Xenopus tropicalis: one gene and its partners. The protein of the gene in region 1 interacts with the protein of each later gene in a pairwise test. Links are inferred from orthologs where the notes say so. Each region holds a gene or a part of one and is shown on either strand. Other genes may lie near its edges.

Region 1 (5,559 bases):
GTTATAGAATGGCCTGTTCCTAGCAACTTTGCATTGCTTTCCATTATTTCTTTTTTATAGTTATTGAATTATTTGCCTTTCTCTTCTGCCTCTTTCCAGCTTTCAAATGGGGGTCACTGACCCCGGCAGCCAAAAACTATTGCTCTGAAAAAACCATAAAAAATTATGACCAATTGCAATCTCAGAATATCAATGTCTACATCATATTAAAAGTTCATCTAAAGGTGAAGGACCGGAATTACTGCAACATGGAACAATGTTTTACATTGATTATTTTTTTCAGATTTTGGGGTATTTAAATTTTTATTAACTGCCGAAATAATGGATTTTGTACCAACAGCGCCACCTGTTGGTCAGTAACTGTACAGGCAAAGAGATATATGATCAGAAGGAAAACAGAGAAGGGTTCTGATGTTGCTCAGGAAGGAGATGGGAAAGGGCGTCTGAGGCTTCTGATCTCTTTCCTGAGAAGAACAACATCAGGACACTTCTCTGTTTCCCTTCTGAACATATATCTCTTTGACTGAACATTTACTGACCAACAGGTGGCACTGTTGGTACAAAATCCATTTTATCGGCAGTTAATAAAAACTGAAACCCCTAAAACATGCAAACATCATTAGTAAAGCACTTTGAGCAATTTCACAATATTTTTGTAAGGTATACTTATCCTTTAACCCCAAATGAATGATCTGTCTAAAAGAGTTGTGGACTTGGCCAGTGTTAGAAGACCTTACAGATCATCCATAAAGAGGGCGGAGGTAGTTTTCCCAGACAAAAACACATTAGATATGTATGTAATATCCATAATTCTCTCCCCATTAAGATGTCGATGAGGAGTGGAAGGAAAAAGGAGAGTGTGGGCCCAAGGGAAGAGCGCAGAGCAAGGGGGAGAGCCTCCCCAGGTGCCATCAGCACCTCGAGCAGCGACAGCAAGAGTGAGAAGGGGCGGCCGAGCGGAAAGGTAAGAGCAGAGAACTGTCCCGAACTCCCCCAGAACAGTTTAAAGCAACAGAAAAAACCTGATAAACCTAATGGGGTGCAGAACCAGATTATATAGAATCCCAGCAACGCCCATATTGGAGAGGGAAGTAGGCTGCATGTTTGTATTATTGTAATTCTTTAAAGGGGAACTCCACCCAAACATAACCTAAGCTTTCTGAAAAGTAAACATAATAGCCCAGCCCTGTTTTGAGAACACAGGGATAGTAAGATTGGTAGAGAACTAAGCTCTTTTGTTATTTCTCTCTCCAGAAGGGAAGAATGGAAGATTCTGTCCCAAAAAACAGCAAGCGGGAGCGAGTAAAGGATTCCTCTGAGAGTGAGGGGGAGGCCGGGAAAACCCAGAAGAAAGCCAAGATGGAGGTGAGAAGTGTTGGCAAATCAGAATTCGCCACTAGCTGATACTGGCTTTTGTAACGTTTGTCATTAAAGGCAAATAATGTCACATTCAGCACAGTACCACCTTGCCAAGTGAGCGGATCTTCTCCCAATATCCCCATCTACGGGTGGGCGATATCGGGTGGATTTAGGCTAATTTGGTTGTTTGGCCCTGGGGCCAAACGATGGTAATGGGCGCAGTTGGTTTGGCTTGTTGATGCGGTCCCCGATCCGACTAAATTTTTTAAACTGCCCGATTTCTGGCCAGATATCGGTTGGGCAGGCCCGTCATTGGTGCCCTACATGAGCCGATAAGCTGCCGAATCGGTCTAAGGGACTGATATCGGCAGCTACAATCACCCCGTGTATGGCCACTTTTAGACTCAGGGCCAAACGATCAAATTAAAACGCCGTTAATGGGCGCAGTCGGTTCAGGGACCGCATCAACAATCAATGCGGTCCCCGATCCGACTACATTTTTTAACCTGCCTGATATCTGCCCGATTTCAGGCCAGATATCGGTCGGGCAGGCCGTCATTGGTGCCCCTACACGGGCTGATAAGCAGCCGAATCGGTCTAAGGGACGGATATCAGCAGCTAGAATCGGCCCGTGTATGGCCACTTTTAGACTCATTTGTGGTTGCCACAGAAATACCTGGGGTGACATAAAGGTGTGGGGTTATAGTGTAAAAAAAAACAGAAAAAAATGGGACAGATCAGGGGCATGTGGTCTGATCAATCAGGGGAAGCTGGCAGGCATTGGCTAGGATATGGGTGGCATAAGGTGGCCAGATCAGGGGCCTTACAAGACACTGAGGAGAAAGTCAAAATGGGCCTGCAGTTGCATTTTTAATAGCGGCCTGGCCTTGTCCCTGTCTTACCAGCTAGGCTGGGGCAGTACAAGCTGAGTGGGAAACCTTTACTTACCCATATTTGCCTTCTGATTGATAAAACCTGTGCCAGTAAGCCTGTGTGGGAGACTGAGGGGGCACTGCTAGCACACAGCCTACGTCAGCTCCCTGCAATATGATGGGAATTACAGGTAAAAGGTATTTGACAGGTTAGAAAGTCCCATTGGGCAAGGCACAAGTCAGTGTGTTGTTCCTCTCCTGATGCCTAGACCTCTATAGGATCTGATTGTTGGCCCAAGGGCCAAACGGTTGGCCCAGCATGCAGATAACCAGATCAGGAAAGGAAAGGCCCAAGGGCCAAATGGTTGGGTGGTCCTAGTTGGCCCAGCATGCAGATGGCCAGATCAGGAAAGGAAAGGCCCAAGGGCCAAACAGTTGGGTGGTCCTAGTTAGCCCAGCATGCAGATGGCCAGATCAGGAAAGGAAAGGCCCAAGGGCCAAACAGTTGGGTGGTCCTAGTTAGCCCAGCATGCAGATGGCCAGATCAGGAAAGGAAAGGCCCAAGGGCCAAACAGTTGGGTGGTCCTAGTTAGCCCAGCATGCAGATGGCCAGATCAGGAAAGGAAAGGCCCAAGGGCCAAACGGTTGGGTGGTCCTAGTTGGTCCAGCATGCAGATGGCCAGATCAGGATAGTAAAGGCCCAAGGGCCAAACGGTTGGGTAGTCCTAGTAGGCCCAGCATGCAGATAACCAGATCAGGAAAGGAAAGGAAAGGCCCAAGGGCCAAACAGTTTGGTGGTCCTAATTGGCCCAGCATGCAGATAACCAGATCGGGAAAGGATCTGCTTGTTTTTGGACCTTGCCAACTGAGGGAATCTGTGTATGTACAGCTTTAAATCTAAATCAGTGCAAAAAACAGGAGTAGCATTTAATATTCTTTGGTCTCTGTTTTATTACAATGACTACATTCTCCTTCTTGTGTCTCTAGTCTCCTGAGGTCCCGCGTCCTCCCCCAGATGACGAAAGCCTCGATGGTCAGAGTGGCAATGAGGATGGCGGCAGTGACCCACGTGACATTGACCAGGATAACCGCAGCACTTCCCCAAGCCTACACAGTGGAGATAGCGAAAGTGATGCTTCCTCTGTTCCATCCCCCAAATCTTTCCCTCTTTACCGAGGCTCCTCTCCCCCACGACCTTCTTCCTCACCTATTTCTGAGCCCACAGTTCTACCGCCCCCATCTCAAGCTCCACAAACAGCAACCCAGATTGAGCCACAGGCACCACGACCGTACCAACCGACGCATCTTCCACAACTGTATCCAAGTAATGGTGGACTAGTCAAGGCGGGGCCTCCTCAGCCTGCCCAGGTCAAGCCTCCACCCACCACTCCAATAGCAGGACTGGGCTCCCCCAGACCATTAGGCTCCCCCACAGCCCCAGCTTCTGCACCTACCAATTGTTCCTCCTCTGCATCTTATCCTCATGTGTCTCACAATTTGCCACCACCCCCGGCTCTTCGTCCACTCAATGCATCACCTGGACTTCAATCTCAAGTGGCAGAAAAGGTTGGCCAGCCACTCCCACCTACATCTGCTTCACTTCGTTATCCCCCTTATCCTGGGCAATATCCATCCAATTATCCTCACCCATACCCTACACAGGGCAAGTATAACCAACCACAGCCTGGCCCCCATTCTTCCTGGGGACAGAGTGGTCTAAACTATGGGCGTGGGGGAGGAGGCCCCTCGTATCCACAGCCACCCCCCCAAAATGGACAAGCAGCAGGTGGAGGGCAGAATATTGCTGGGGGATTTCCACCCCCCCACCATGGAAGCGCAAGGGCTCAGTCCCCTCTAAATAACCACCCACCTCATCCTCACCCCACTACTGGTGGAATTCAGTCTCCAGCCTCCCAAATCAGTGTTCTCCACTCTCACGGAGGGGCATCGGGCACTAGAGGGCAGTCTCCTAACCACCCTCTGAATAATGCCCATCACCCTCACATTCTACCAAACAGGGGGCGCTCACCTACCCCGCAGAGCAACCTGACTCCTGGGAGCACACCTCAGTCAGGCCACCAGCCAGCTCACATCTTACCGGGTGGAATTATTTCTCCAAATCCTCCCCCTCAGAACAATACCCAGCTGACATCTTCAACAGGAGGAAGTGCGAGGGGACAGTCGCCTGCACCTACAAATACCCCTCACCTCCTTCCCCAATCCAATTCATCAAGTGGGAGCATGGCTTATCCTGCGCCAGCGGAGCCCTCAAACCCACCATCTACACACCCTGTCTACCAGCCTCATTCTTCTCCATCTGTGTGCCAGTACCCCCCCAGCTCTCAGACGTATCCCAACTATCCCTTTCAGGGCTACAAAGGTGCACCTCCAGCTGCTCCACCTTATAAAACTGCCCCACCACCACCTTATAAGCCAGGATCTTTCCCTGCCTCCACACCTCCTCCTCCTTCCCAGGGATTCAAGGAGGCATCTCCTCCGGCAACGGCTCCTGCCCCTCAACCCGTCCCTCAACCTGTCCCTCAACCACCAGCCCCTGCTCCTGTTCAGATAAAACAAGAACCTCCCGAAGAGGTTGAAGGTGAAGGAGAAAGTCCAGTTCCTCCTGTCAGCAGCCCCTCACCGCCCCCAAAACTTGTGGATACACCAAGCCATGCCAGTCAATCAGCTAGGTATATAAGTATATGCACATAGCAATGCATGAGTGGGATCTTGGTGGGATACTGGTCTAATTGTATACAGAGTAATGGGCAAATGGGTGGAGCTATCAGAAGGGAAGAGAGGCAGAGGGCCCTGGTGTAAAGGGGGGAGGCCATATAAGAAATGGGTGGGTCTTCCTACAGATTTGGTGCATAAAGCAGTTCAGTGGCGTGAGCAGACCCGTGGTACCTTATGGCAGGAACCAATAGCAAATAATATATATGCACTAATATATATATATGCACTGATACTCATAACTGTGTTTAAGCTTGACTGATGGGTAAGTGGGTGGGGCCAGATATGAGATGATCATCACCGTGGTGGAATGATCATGAATGTTAATAATGCTTTGATATTGACAGAGGGCAGAGAAATGACAGTACAGTAGTGAGGTTATTATAATTGATTACTTACCCCAGTACACTTTGCCAATGGCTGGCACATACTATACTCTGCTCAATAACCCCCCCCCCCCCCCCGCTCTTATTGATACAGATTCTCTCTCTCTGCCATTACTCTCTGTGACCCAGGTTTAACAAGCACCTTGACCGAGGGTACAACTCTTGCTGTCGCACTGACCTTTACTTTGTGCCTCTGGAAGGCTCCAAAC
Region 2 (6,190 bases), about 100 Mb from region 1:
ATTTATAAAGCTCAGGTTCTCCTGATAAAAACAATATATAGTTTTTCTGCCAGTAGTTCCTAAAAGAAGACACCATTTTCATATAGCTTTAACTCTGCTGAGCTTTGGCAGGGATAAAAAATGCTTGTATATATTGTGTTCTTTTATATTTACTAATGTAAAATGCATTAGTAAATTTAAAACCTAGTCGGTACCATAAACCGAGGTGTCCGAGTCAAAGGATTTATGTACAGACGCCACAGCCCTGGTTACTACTAAACCATTATATTTTAATCCAACCTACAAACCCTCTTACATACTACACATTTAAAGAAAAATTTGGAACTTACCACTCGTTATTTAATGGCTCCCCTAGGTTGGTAGCCATGATAAGCCGTCTAAAACTCCTCTGGATTCAAGATGCCGACAAAATGTTTCCTATGAAAATGAAAAATAATATCATTTTCTTCATGTTACATATTCAACTGTAGCTACAATATATGCTGACCAAACAGTGCAAATGCAAAAGACATTGCCACATTGCTGGATATATTTTTTGGTCAGCTGAACTGACTAACATCCGTGTTTCACTTTCCAGATTCTAAAAAACATTCATGTCATATAAAGACAAGTATGTCTGCCTAAAGACAAATTAAATCTATTCAAGGGAGCTCTAGCTGGACAGAGCACAGCAAATCAAAAACTTTAATAGAAATTCACAATATACAATACTTGGGCTCATAACCAATAACTCATACATTTTGTTTCTGTAGAAGTTACAGCAAAGACTGTTCCGATACAACCTAACAAACATGCATATGTTATATACACACACAAACAAATTCCAGAGGGGCTGCTGTAAGATGCCATAGACAGTAGTTATTTATTGGGCTGGGGGGGCTGTTTGGGTCTCTGGGTACTTGAAATGCCAGGGCTTATTTTGACTCCCAGTCCTGGCCTGTTTTATGCTGCATGTGAGTAAGCAGCTGATGAGAGATACAGATGCTAGAGTGGTTTGGTTTCAGAACAACGAATAGCTCAGCTTACAACTAATCAGTCTCTAAATGTTTGTGCTAAAAAACTGGACACAGAAAAAAACATTTGCCACATCTTTTAATCTACTAAAAGTAGAGGCCATTGTAATACTATCTCAGTATTCCATAATTCCCTTCAGTTAATTCACTACAATAATTATGACAATTAAAAGGAACAGTAACACCAAAAAATGAAAATGTATCAAAATAATTAGTATATTACCTACCGTTGCCCTGCACTGGTTAAAGTTGTGTTTTTTTTATTTCAGAAACAGTACTGTAGTTTATATAAACCCTGCTGTGTAGCCATGGGGGCAGCCATTCAAGCTACAAAAAAGGCACAGGTCACAAAGAAGATAACAGATAAGCGGAGTACATTCCAATTGTATTCTATAGAGCTTCTCTGTTATCTGCTATGTACCCTGTGCTTTTTCTCCTTTTTTCCAGCTTGAATAGCTGCCCCCATGGCTTCACAGCAGCTTATTCATATAAACTATAGTAGACTTTCTGAAGCAAACAACTTTTGCCAGGGCAGGACAACAGCAGATACTATTTTAAAATTACTTTAAAACATTTTTTGGTGTTACTGTTCCTTAGGTGCCAGATAACCAGATTTGGGCAGTCAGTGGTCTGACTGACTATTACTAGGGCTATGGCACAGTGTTTTTTTAGGCCAATTATCTATTGCTAGTTGACATTTTTGTGGGCTAATTCAGGCATTATGATGAAACAGCTATACACTGTGAGATATTAGCAATGCCCAACTGATGCTTATTCTAATGGTGCCCGACTATCTTGAGATATACAGCCAATCAGGCAGAAATTCTGACTGCTATTGAGGTGGATCAAGGATTCCCAATCCTGAGAGAAAATTTCAGCTGGCCTGCCAAAAGTGAAGAGGAGCTGCAACGCCACAGCTACTGTTTCAATTCTTCAACCAGAACAAAAAACAGCACAACAAAAACATGGCCCTGTACGGAACTTGTCCTCTTGGCCAATCAGTTGGATGCCGAGCCAGGCTGCTGTGTGTGTGGCCACTTTTTATCAACCTGACAGCTTTGTCACCAGAGGGAAATGTGGCACTTGTCAGCACATCACTGAAAATCTCCCCCAATACCCAGAAATGACGCCACGCAGCTGAAGCCAAAAAATTCTACCTGGGCAAATGCATCAAATGACGTCGGAGGAGAGCCTTCAAAATATATGGGGGGGGGGGATTGACAGCTCTGTCAACATACAGAAAAAATTCAACAGATGGGTATTTGGGTATAGTTCTGTTCTACATTTCATTGTACATATTCCGACACTGTTGTTTCTTTAGGCCAACCTGACCAAAATTTCTATAGCCGCCTGAATGGTACACAGAAATCGACTGGAATCCCCCCATCATACACCAAAATCAGCAAAAGCATGTACAGTGTTAAGGGGGCCAACCATAGGGCTCTTCTAGATATTTTAAATAGCTTTAATTAAAAGTCACATGGGGTGCGACTCACCTGCCTTTGAAACTAGGGCCACATGACTGAAACAAAAACAAAAATTTAGTGTGGGTGGGGCCTAACCAAATGTTCAGAAAAAACAAATTGTTATATATATATAGCAAAAAAATCACACTTTTAATGAGAAAAAAACAAGTCCAACGTTTTGAGCACAAACTGTGCTCTTCCTCAGGGACAAACTTTTTTTCTCATTAAAAGTGTGATTTTTTTGCAAAGTCCTTGTGTGTGCGGCTCTCTGTCTATATAATAATTTTTTTGCCACCACCCTGGGCATTTGTATTTCTATAGGGTGTTCTCCTTTTGGTCTTGTGTGTGTATATATATATATATATATATATATATATATATATATATATATATATATATATATATATACATATATGTTTATATAGGAGGGCACACAAGCTATTTGCCTGCTGGATGCGCTGTAGTAATTAACCCTTTGAGTGCTGGGTTATTATATATATATAAAAAATTACCTGTGTGTATGTATTTGTATATAATATATATATATATACACACACAAATACATACACACGTAAAAAAAAAAAAAAAAAAAAAAAAGATATATACACATATTTAATTAACCCTGTGTGTGTATGTATATGTGTATATATATATATATATATATATATATATATATATATATATATATAATTAGCCCTGTGAGTGCTGGGTTATAATTATATATATTACGTGTGTATATATATATATATATATATATATAATCATTATATATGTAAGCGCACACCTAAATCAAGCCGTTTGCATGTAATTACGTCCCTTACAGTACAACTCCCAATACAGGCCGAGCTAGGGCACATACGATGAGGAATTTATAGGGCCGCAGACAACAGAAAGAGACGCGCAAACTTACCTACCGTTTGTGTATCGCTTAAAAACAAAATAACAAACAAAAGAAAATCGCCCTTTTGACCTAACAAGCTCGTTATATCATTCGTCGCTCTGACGGGCCTTGTCTTCACACAACGGCATCCATTTTACTTTCCTTCCACCCCGGAAGTCTCGGCTTCTGTATGCCTGAAATGGAACTGTGGGCGGCGGGCGTGACGTCACCGGGCCATGTGACTGCGGCTGGCCAATCCCGCTACTGGAAGCGTCGTATGCCAAATACATATACAAACATGTATGTTACGTAAGGGAGAAGCGGGACGAACAGTCTTTAGGAAGAGAGTAGCAGTCTCCATTAGGGCCGCTGCTAGGGCGGAGCTTCTCCTTGCAAACAGCGATTATATTTTTTCAGTACAGTAAACGCTGGTGATATAATTACGCCCTTTTTCAAATAAAAATTCTGCTCAAGAAGAAGCAGCATTGTTAAAATAACTAGTATTTCTTTGAAAAACAGATCAAAGTTTGGTCGGGGGAGGAGGGCAACCCTCACGAAGCCATTTTAGGGAACTTCCGGTTTGTGTATTTGAGGGACTTTGCTAATGGGGCAAGGGGGCAGAGTGCTGTGGTAACTTATGAGATAGTTTTATTTTATTTAAACTGTAAATTAAACTATTAGCGCACAGATTGCTATAATGCTTTATGCAATAGTGAATTTCCCATTCCAGTCCAAGAACTGGAGTGTTAAGGGTGACTGGATTTTCTCCCTCAGGCTATAGAAGGGGACATGAGCAGTTGTGATGTGTGGGTCAGGAAAAACTCAAATATTGCCATTTTGGGACTTGTACTCGCTCCATACGCTGCTTCTGTGTGCGCCTTTGGCTCCAAGAGAAGGCATCTTTGGAAGCAAAAATGGAGCCCATTGATGTCAGAGGGCAGAGACACTAAAGCTCGCCACACACGTGGCGATCTGACGATGTGCCACACACCATTCAGGGCTGAATCGGCAGGTAAGGAGGTAGAAACAATAGGATTTCTACCTCCTTCTGCCGATTCAGCGCTGAAGGGAGATTTTGGTCAGGCACCTTCTATGGCGCCCGATCAAAATTTTCAAACTGGGCGATCGGCGAGTCGGCCGATATCAGCAGGTTCCTGCGATATCGGTCGACTCGCCGACATACCATACACGCACCGAATATCGTACGAAACGAGGTTTCGTACGATATTATCGGTGCGTGTATGGCCACCTTAAATAGACTTCCTGAGTGTGTCCCACACCCAACTTAAATTGACCACAGTCACCCAAAGCTGGACCTTGAATTTTTTGGTCAGCCTGCACATTACTAAGTAGCCCTTTTGATAATGGGATTATCTGGTTACATTTTGTTAAAGGAGAAGGAAAGGTAAAAAACTAAGTGAACTTTATGAGAAAGGTCTATGTAAATACAACCATAAGCACTCACAGAAAAGATGCAGTGAGTCCTCCATTAAAAGAAACAGGATTTATTGTCTCCTTTTTTTTTTTTTAAACATGTTCTTCCTGTATCTGATTTCCTCTTTCAGAAAATCCTTCATTCTTGGGGCCAGAATCTGTGCAGCTCTCTCCTCACTTCTGCACCACCACAAGAATGCTAGAACAACCTCTCCCCTCCCTTAGGAATGTGTAATGTCAGCTATAATGGCTAGAGCTATACAGACGGAAGCTATGAAGTCCAAACTAAAATGGCAGCTGCATTCTTAAGCAAACAGAGAAAGCTTCTATGGCTCTTTACCCAGGTATGGCAATGCTGTCTGAAGAATAAATATAGTGTTCTAGGTGGCACTTATGTGGCGAATCTATTGGCAGTAAAATGCCAAAATGACTTTCCTTCTCCTTTAAAAATCAATTAAACTAACATTTGCCCTGGCCTCTGCATGTAACCACTAGCTATCTACAACATTTTCTTTATTCCCCCTCAGCAAGCTGATCAGTATAGTTCCTGTAAAAAAGGGAATCTGGAATTTGACCAAATATCCTGTCAAATATTAAAGCCAACATTATTGGTAGTTGGTTCACATTTACTCAGTACTGAAAAAATTATAAGCACGGCCCACAAATATTTAATTTGCACAATGACCGGGCACTTCCAGTTTCAGCTGAAGTCAAATTATATTTTGGGAAAGCACTTTTAATGCAATTGTAAAGCAATTTTAAAAAGTTAGTGGCATCAAAATGAACTACACCTTTCATGTAATATTTTCTGATAATTACAAAGAAAGATAATTTACCTCACAGAAGGCACGTGTATATAAAGGATTGGGGAAAGTATTTTTCCTTGATCCAGAGAACTTGACAGAGGGGTCGGGTACCATAGTGTTGCTACTATTCAGTTTCAGCATTTATGTGCCTAAACCTGACATTAGCTATTTTTTGGCTTTGTTTTTTTTTCTAGTTGCTTTCCATTCTTGTGTGTCTGACAGATTTTATAGGGTGGAAACATCCTGTGCACTGAAGCTTGATACAAAAGATCTTTTAGAGATCATTGGACCTTTCTGGTATAATCATATGTGCTTCATGACAGGAAAGAGCACAGTAGTAACACATGCAAAACTGAGACCTTGTTGGGTACAGACTGATAAATGATCTATTGCTTTTCTAAACTTTATAGAGAACCCTCTTTTAAGAGTGCAGGACACAAAACAGACTTGTAAGGGCCAATAAGGCTGTGGGAGTTAAGGTTAGGGGAGGAGTTTGTAGACCAATGAGGGCATTCAAATGAATGGGGGCAGGCCCAGACTGGCGATCTCTGGATTCCAGCAAATGCCAGAGGGGCTGCTATAAGATGCCAT
Region 3 (6,095 bases), on another chromosome or scaffold:
TTAAGTAACATATCAAGTGATGACAGCACAGAGCAGGGGCAGGTAGGTGGGAAGGGGTTAAACTTAGGGCAAACTCCACTGCCCCCCTATAAACTGAATGACTTCTTACGACATTAATCAATGGAACTCTTTATATAAACAGCTGTTTATATTGTGCACACAAGGGGCGTATCTAAAATGTTGGTACTGTGTGCTTGTGTTCATGGGGGGCCCCATATAAATAACTTTTGCTGGGTCCCAAAGTTTCTGATGGTGGCCCTGCCTGCCTAGGGTGTGAGGGGGCGCTAGGCAGGTACCTCTGCTGCCACCCCTAGTCCAGGATCGCTTTCCCCCACATTTGATTTCCCATGTGCTCCCTCCCTGCACTGCATCTGCGCGCCTTGCATGCCACGCTCCCCCCTCTGGGGCGTCCTGGTGTGTGCGCATTTTTGTGCATGCGCGGGGAGGGGGAAGTGGTGGGGCCAAGGTGGCTGGCTGGGTCGCCTAGGGTGCCTGGCCCACTTGGCCCGCCTCTGCCTATTAGTAAATGAACCACACATGAGGTGATTGTATTATTTATCCTGTTTCTTTGCTATTTTGTTCTGGGACACCAGAACAATATGTTGGCACAATGTTTAGGTGAAAACTACTACAGGTTGGTGCATTATTTTAAGAAGATGATAGCCAGCGTGGGGTAAGGAACATACTTTTCTAATCCCATCCTCTAAATGCAACACTCTCCACAGCCCCTTTAGCACACATGCCATATGAGGCAAAGGCTTAGCAACAAAATATGCCGGTTTGTTTCAAAAGCGTTGAATATGTTGCACTATAGCACAGTTGATTCCCTCACACAAAAATCTGGAGCTAATAAAAATGACACCCCCTCTTGTTGTGATGTGCAGGTTGACCTGAAACATGTGGGGTCTGTTTTTGCTTATAGCCCACAATCCCTTATCAATAGTACTGGTTGTTTATCATTAAAGTGATACTGACACCAGAAATTAAATCTTTTTTTACATCTATCATTCATTATCTTAAAAGTATTTGCCCAATACTTTTACATTACATTACCTACTATCTGATCCCCCATGTTCCTCTGTGAGGGGACTGCCAAGTAACAGTTACTTAGGGCCGTGGTAGACGGGGAGATTAGTTGCCCGTGACAAATCTCCCTTGTTGCGGGCGACTAATCTCTCTGATATGCCATCATACAGGCTTGAATGTAAATCGCCAGTGGTATGGCATATGCGGCGTTGCGATTTCCGAAAACTGCGGAAGTTGCCTTGAGAGGAAACTTGTGCGATTTCGGGAAATCGCGTCGCCGCATATGCCATACCACTGGCGATTTACATTCAAGCCGGTGGGATGGCATATCGGGGTGATTAGTCGCCCGCAACAAGGGAGATTTGTCACGCGGCGACTAATCTTCCCGTCTGTCACAGCCCTTAGCGCCAGTATCACTTTAAGGCTAATGGCACTTGGGGTAGTGCTGGAATGGCAAATATTCTGGCAAAACCCGTAGTGACTGCTGTGAATTGCATAGACCGGTGCTTTATTTGAGGTTGTTAGAGGACTGTCTCAGCCTCAGTTTATTTGTAATGCCAAGACTTATTTAGATCTTAGTACAGACAACATGGTGTGTTTTGACTACTACCTGTTAGGGTGAAGACACACAGAGCTACTTAGTAGCAGCTACTTGTCACAGCTACTAAACGCCAGAAAATCCCCTGCCACAGACAATACTGAGAATTGCCTCTGCTAAAACACATGTAGAGACAGTTATCAGTAAATGATCAGCATTGTCTATTTTTGCAGCTGTGACAAGTAGCTGCTACTAGTAGCTCCATGTGTCTTCACCCTAAGTGCCAGTGCCAAGTGGGGTGCTGGAGTCTTTACCCTTACTGCTTCTAATGGCAAGTGCATAGGGTTTGCAACTTTTAAAAATGATTTAACCTGCTGGGCTGGGGTGACAAGGGGGGTGGGGTGATGCTGTAAAGGCCCAGGGTGATAATATGAGCAGAAGAGAATTGGCATGTTGGGCAGAGGGCAGCTTCTGGTCTGAAAAGGGATGAACAATTAGGGTGGATCAGTGCAATGACACGCAATGGCACTGTTATACTGGTCCCAGCTTTAGCATGTGTTTTACCACTGGTAGAATAGCAACCCTGAAAGTGTCCCTGCTGATACACTTGGAGCAGTAAAAAGCCATAAACTAATGCTGCCTGAAACACAAAAAGTTGATTTAAACTTTAACAACAACTTTAACATGTCCCTCCTGGCCTAGTCTAAAGAGGAGCATCAAACTAAACTCATACAGATTAATGCGGGTTTAGCCAGAGAATTATATAGGTGACGTCACGCAAAGCTTGTCCCAATCCTGTCACGACATGGCCACGCCCCGTGTTATTGCTGGTAGGTGGGAGACACGTGACGTTTCCTGGGCGGGAGTTTGATGACGCGAGGGGGCGGAGTCCGGGGAAGCTCTGTGAGACGGCCGCAGTGGTGCCCGGAGCTGGCAGCGTGTGAATCGGACGGGAGCTCGGAAGGAGGAAGAGGCGGCCCGGGGAGGGGAGGGGAGGCCGAGGACGGGACATCCGCCCCGGTATGTTGGCAGCTGTGTCAGCTGGTTGGTGAAGTCGATAGGTTTCCCGCAGCAGTGTATGAGGGCATGTCGGTGCCACACACTGCTTGTTCTGCTCCTTGCCCCTAGGCTACTATTCCTTGTCTCCGCCTGGCATTAGCTACGGGCAATACCACTAGTGCTTTGCGCTGCTGTCGGTGATCCCATTCCCCGCTTTGCGTTTTTCTCTCAAGCCTTTCATTGTCGTGGTTTGTTGCGATCCGCTATTCTCCGGTCTCAGTACTCGCTCACATCTCTATGGCCTTAAGGGCCACCGGATATCTCGCTAGCTGTTTCCTTTCATCAGGGGCTTCTGGTTATTGTGTCACAGGTGGGCTAATGCTAGCCTGACTTCATTCATCATATGACTTGAACCCTGTACCCTCCTAGTGCCGCTGCCAAATCTGCCCATATCCATGTATAGTGTATAGCAGCAGCCTCCTTGCCAAGTGTATCCATGTATGTGCTACTTCTTTTGTGTCTTCCTTGTCTCCATGTGTAATGCTCACATTTAGCTTCACTCTCCTTGCCAAGTGTATCCATGTATTTCCCACCTCTGTTGTGTCTTCCTTGTCTCCATGTGTAATGCTCACATTTAGCTTCACTCTCCTTGCCAAGTGTATCCATGTATGTGCCACCTCTGTGGTGTCTTCCTTGTGTCTTTGTGCACTCTTCACATTTAGCTTCACCCTCCTTGCCAAGTGTATCCATGTATGTGCCACCTCTGTGGTGTCTTCCTTGTCTCCATGTGTAATGCCCACATTTAGCTTCACCCTCCTTGCCAAGTGTATCCATGTATGTGCCACCTCTGTGGTGTCTTCCTTGTCTCCATGTGTAATGCCCACATTTAGCTTCACCCTCCTTGCCAAGTGTATCCATGTATGTGCCACCTCTGTGGTGTCTTCCTTGTGTCTTTGTGCACTCTTCACATTTAGCTTCACCCTCCTTGCCAAGTGTATCCATGTATGTGCCACCTCTGTGGTGTCTTCCTTGTCTCCATGTGTAATGCCCACATTTAGCTTCACCCTCCTTGCCAAGTGTATCCATGTATGTGCCACCTCTGTGGTGTCTTCCTTTTGTCTTTGTGCACTCTTCACATTTAGCTTCACCCTCCTTGCCAAGTGTATCCATGTATGTGCCACCTCTGTGGTGTCTTCCTTGTCTCTATGTGTAATGCTCTCATTTAGCTTCACCCTCCTTGCCAAGTGTATCCATGTATGTGCCACCTCTGTGGTGTCTTCCTTGTCTCTATGTGTATTGCCCACATTTAGCTTCACTCTCCTTGCCAAGTGTATCCATGTATGTGCCACCTCTGGTGTCTTCCTTGTCTCTATGTGTAATGCCCACATTTAGCTTCACTCTCCTTGCCAAGTGTATCCATGTATGTGCCACCTCTGTGGTGTCTTCCTTGTCTCTATGTGTAATGCTCTCATTTAGCTTCACCCTCCTTGCCAAGTGTATCCATGTATGTGCCACCTCTGTGGTGTCTTCTTTGTGTCTTTGTGCACTCTTCACATTTAGCTGCAATCTCCTTGCCAAGTGTATCCATGTATGTGCCACCTCTGTGGTGTCTTTCTTGTCTCCATGTGTAATGCCCACATTTAGCTTCACCCTCCTTGCCAAGTGTATCCATGTATGTGCCACCTCTGTTTTGTCTTCCTTGTCTCCATGTGTAATGCTCACATTTAGCTTCACTCTCCTTGCCAAGTGTATCCATGTATTTCCCACCTCTGTGGTGTCTTTCTTGTCTCCATGTGTAATGCTCACATTTAGCTTCACCCTCCTTGCCATCTGTATCCATTTATGTGCCACCTCTGTGGTGTCTTCTCAGTGTCCATGTAATGTCCATATTGAGATTTTTCATGATTAAAACAATAGGCAAAAAAAGTATGTTCAGAAAACAACAATTAATAGAGGGTACTCCCTTATGCAAATATAGTAAAGGATGCAAAAGTAAAGACTCTTACCCAAATAGAGGCAAAAGTAAAGCAAACTACAAAAGGTCACTTTGCACTCCAAAACAAAGTATGTTCAGCACAAGCCCTGTGTATTGAGCTTGTGCTGTGCAAGGGGGGTATACTGCCACTCCACCTTTTTTGCCAACTCAGTGTTGTCTTGCGCCTGTGCACCTTTAGGGTGAAGACACACAGAGCTACTTAGTAGCAGCTACCCCTGCCATAGACAATACTGAGAATTGCCTCTGCTAAAACACATGTAGAGACAATTATCAGTAAATGATCAGCATTGTCCATTTTAGTAGCCATGACAAGTAGCTGCTACTACCGGTAGTAGGTCATTGTGTCTTCACCCTTAATTGCATTCTCTCTGCTTAGTCTACCCTTTTTTTGTCCAAGCACTCCCCGCCAGGTATGCCGTTGTCTTTTGTTTATCTTTTGTGAAATTTACTTTGGACCAAGTGCATCGTACTTTAGCTACCAGTGTTTCCCAACCATGTTGCTCCCCTAATCCCTTTGATATTGCTTCCAGTGGCCTCAAAGCAGGTGTTCATTTTTGAATTTCTTACTTGGAGGCACAAAGGCCATGTGTACTGCCACACAGAGCCAAATATGCCATTATTTGGCACCCCCTTGGAACTTTTTTCATGCTTGCGTTGCTGCCAACTCTTTTTATTTAAATGTTTTCTATAGGTAAAAAAGTTGGACACCTTTATTTCAAACTTTCCATAGGTGTTATTTCTATATCATTTCCATAAAGCTTGTCCAAGTTGTTCATTCTTGCCATACTACCCCCCCCCATTGTCAGATTATTGAATAAAATAAATAACGAAAAATATATAGTAGTACTTTGCCCTAGAAGTTGTATTAATGGTCACCAGCCTTCTCAGGGCCTTCAACAGGTTACTTAACCTAATATGACTTGTAAATGTGTGCCATGTCATGACAAATGTGTTTACTGATCATGTATCACTGTTATTTTGAAAGGAAGAAAGGTTATGTTGGTTGGTTGGTTCATTGTGGATAAAAATGTATTTAGTTTTGGCCATTTGTGCTGAAAATACTATTAAAAACCTTTGTCCCCAGTTGATTGAAACTTTAGTTTGGTAAATAAATGAACAGCCCATCCTCATACACTCCCACAAGGAGTCTTGGGAATACTGTCTGAAACTGGTCTTATTACTACATTCTAACAATGGCTAAACCCCTTTGTGGTAACTTATTCCAAACAGTCAGTGTATATGTCCTTATCAAGTAGGTTATATTGGATAACAAGGAGACAGTGGGCAAAGCATATGAAGAATACCAGAATTACTGAGTCCACCTAGAACAAAATATGCAAACTTACATATTTTTTTTCAGTATTTTTATGAGAGAGAGACATTGGAGACAGTGTCCCACAAGACAGAACAGAATTACATAGTGAATGACTGTTAAACATCTGTTACACTGTTTGTTGGAATGCCTGTGGCTGATCTGCCCTGTTCAATAAGCACTAGCCATCGCTTGTCAGTGCTCAAAAACAGCACAGATTTCGG

The links.
Region 2: the proteins of atn1 (region 1) and leukocyte receptor cluster member 8 interact in a two-hybrid assay, tested with the Homo sapiens proteins (2 studies listed by BioGRID and IntAct). The link is inferred for Xenopus tropicalis from reciprocal best matches to the Homo sapiens genes ATN1 and LENG8.
Region 3: the proteins of atn1 (region 1) and wwp1 interact in a two-hybrid assay, tested with the Homo sapiens proteins (2 studies listed by BioGRID and IntAct). The link is inferred for Xenopus tropicalis from reciprocal best matches to the Homo sapiens genes ATN1 and WWP1.

Annotation. Positions count from the first base shown.
Region 1 is NC_030683.2:9,457,087-9,462,645, reverse strand, and holds part of atn1 (atrophin-1), read left to right. Parts: intron 1-826; coding exon 827-964; intron 965-1,254; coding exon 1,255-1,365; intron 1,366-3,218; coding exon 3,219-4,921; intron 4,922-5,479; coding exon 5,480-5,559. UniProt on the Homo sapiens protein: Transcriptional corepressor. Recruits NR2E1 to repress transcription. Promotes vascular smooth cell (VSMC) migration and orientation. Corepressor of MTG8 transcriptional repression.
Region 2 is NC_030683.2:112,086,169-112,092,358, forward strand, and holds the start of leukocyte receptor cluster member 8, read right to left. Parts: upstream 3,592-6,190; 5' UTR 3,394-3,591; exon of another isoform or gene 3,390-3,393; intron 418-3,389; 5' UTR 368-417; coding exon 330-367; intron 1-329.
Region 3 is NC_030682.2:125,461,611-125,467,705, forward strand, and holds the start of wwp1 (NEDD4-like E3 ubiquitin-protein ligase WWP1), read left to right. Parts: upstream 1-2,504; 5' UTR 2,505-2,584; intron 2,585-6,095. UniProt on the Homo sapiens protein: E3 ubiquitin-protein ligase which accepts ubiquitin from an E2 ubiquitin-conjugating enzyme in the form of a thioester and then directly transfers the ubiquitin to targeted substrates.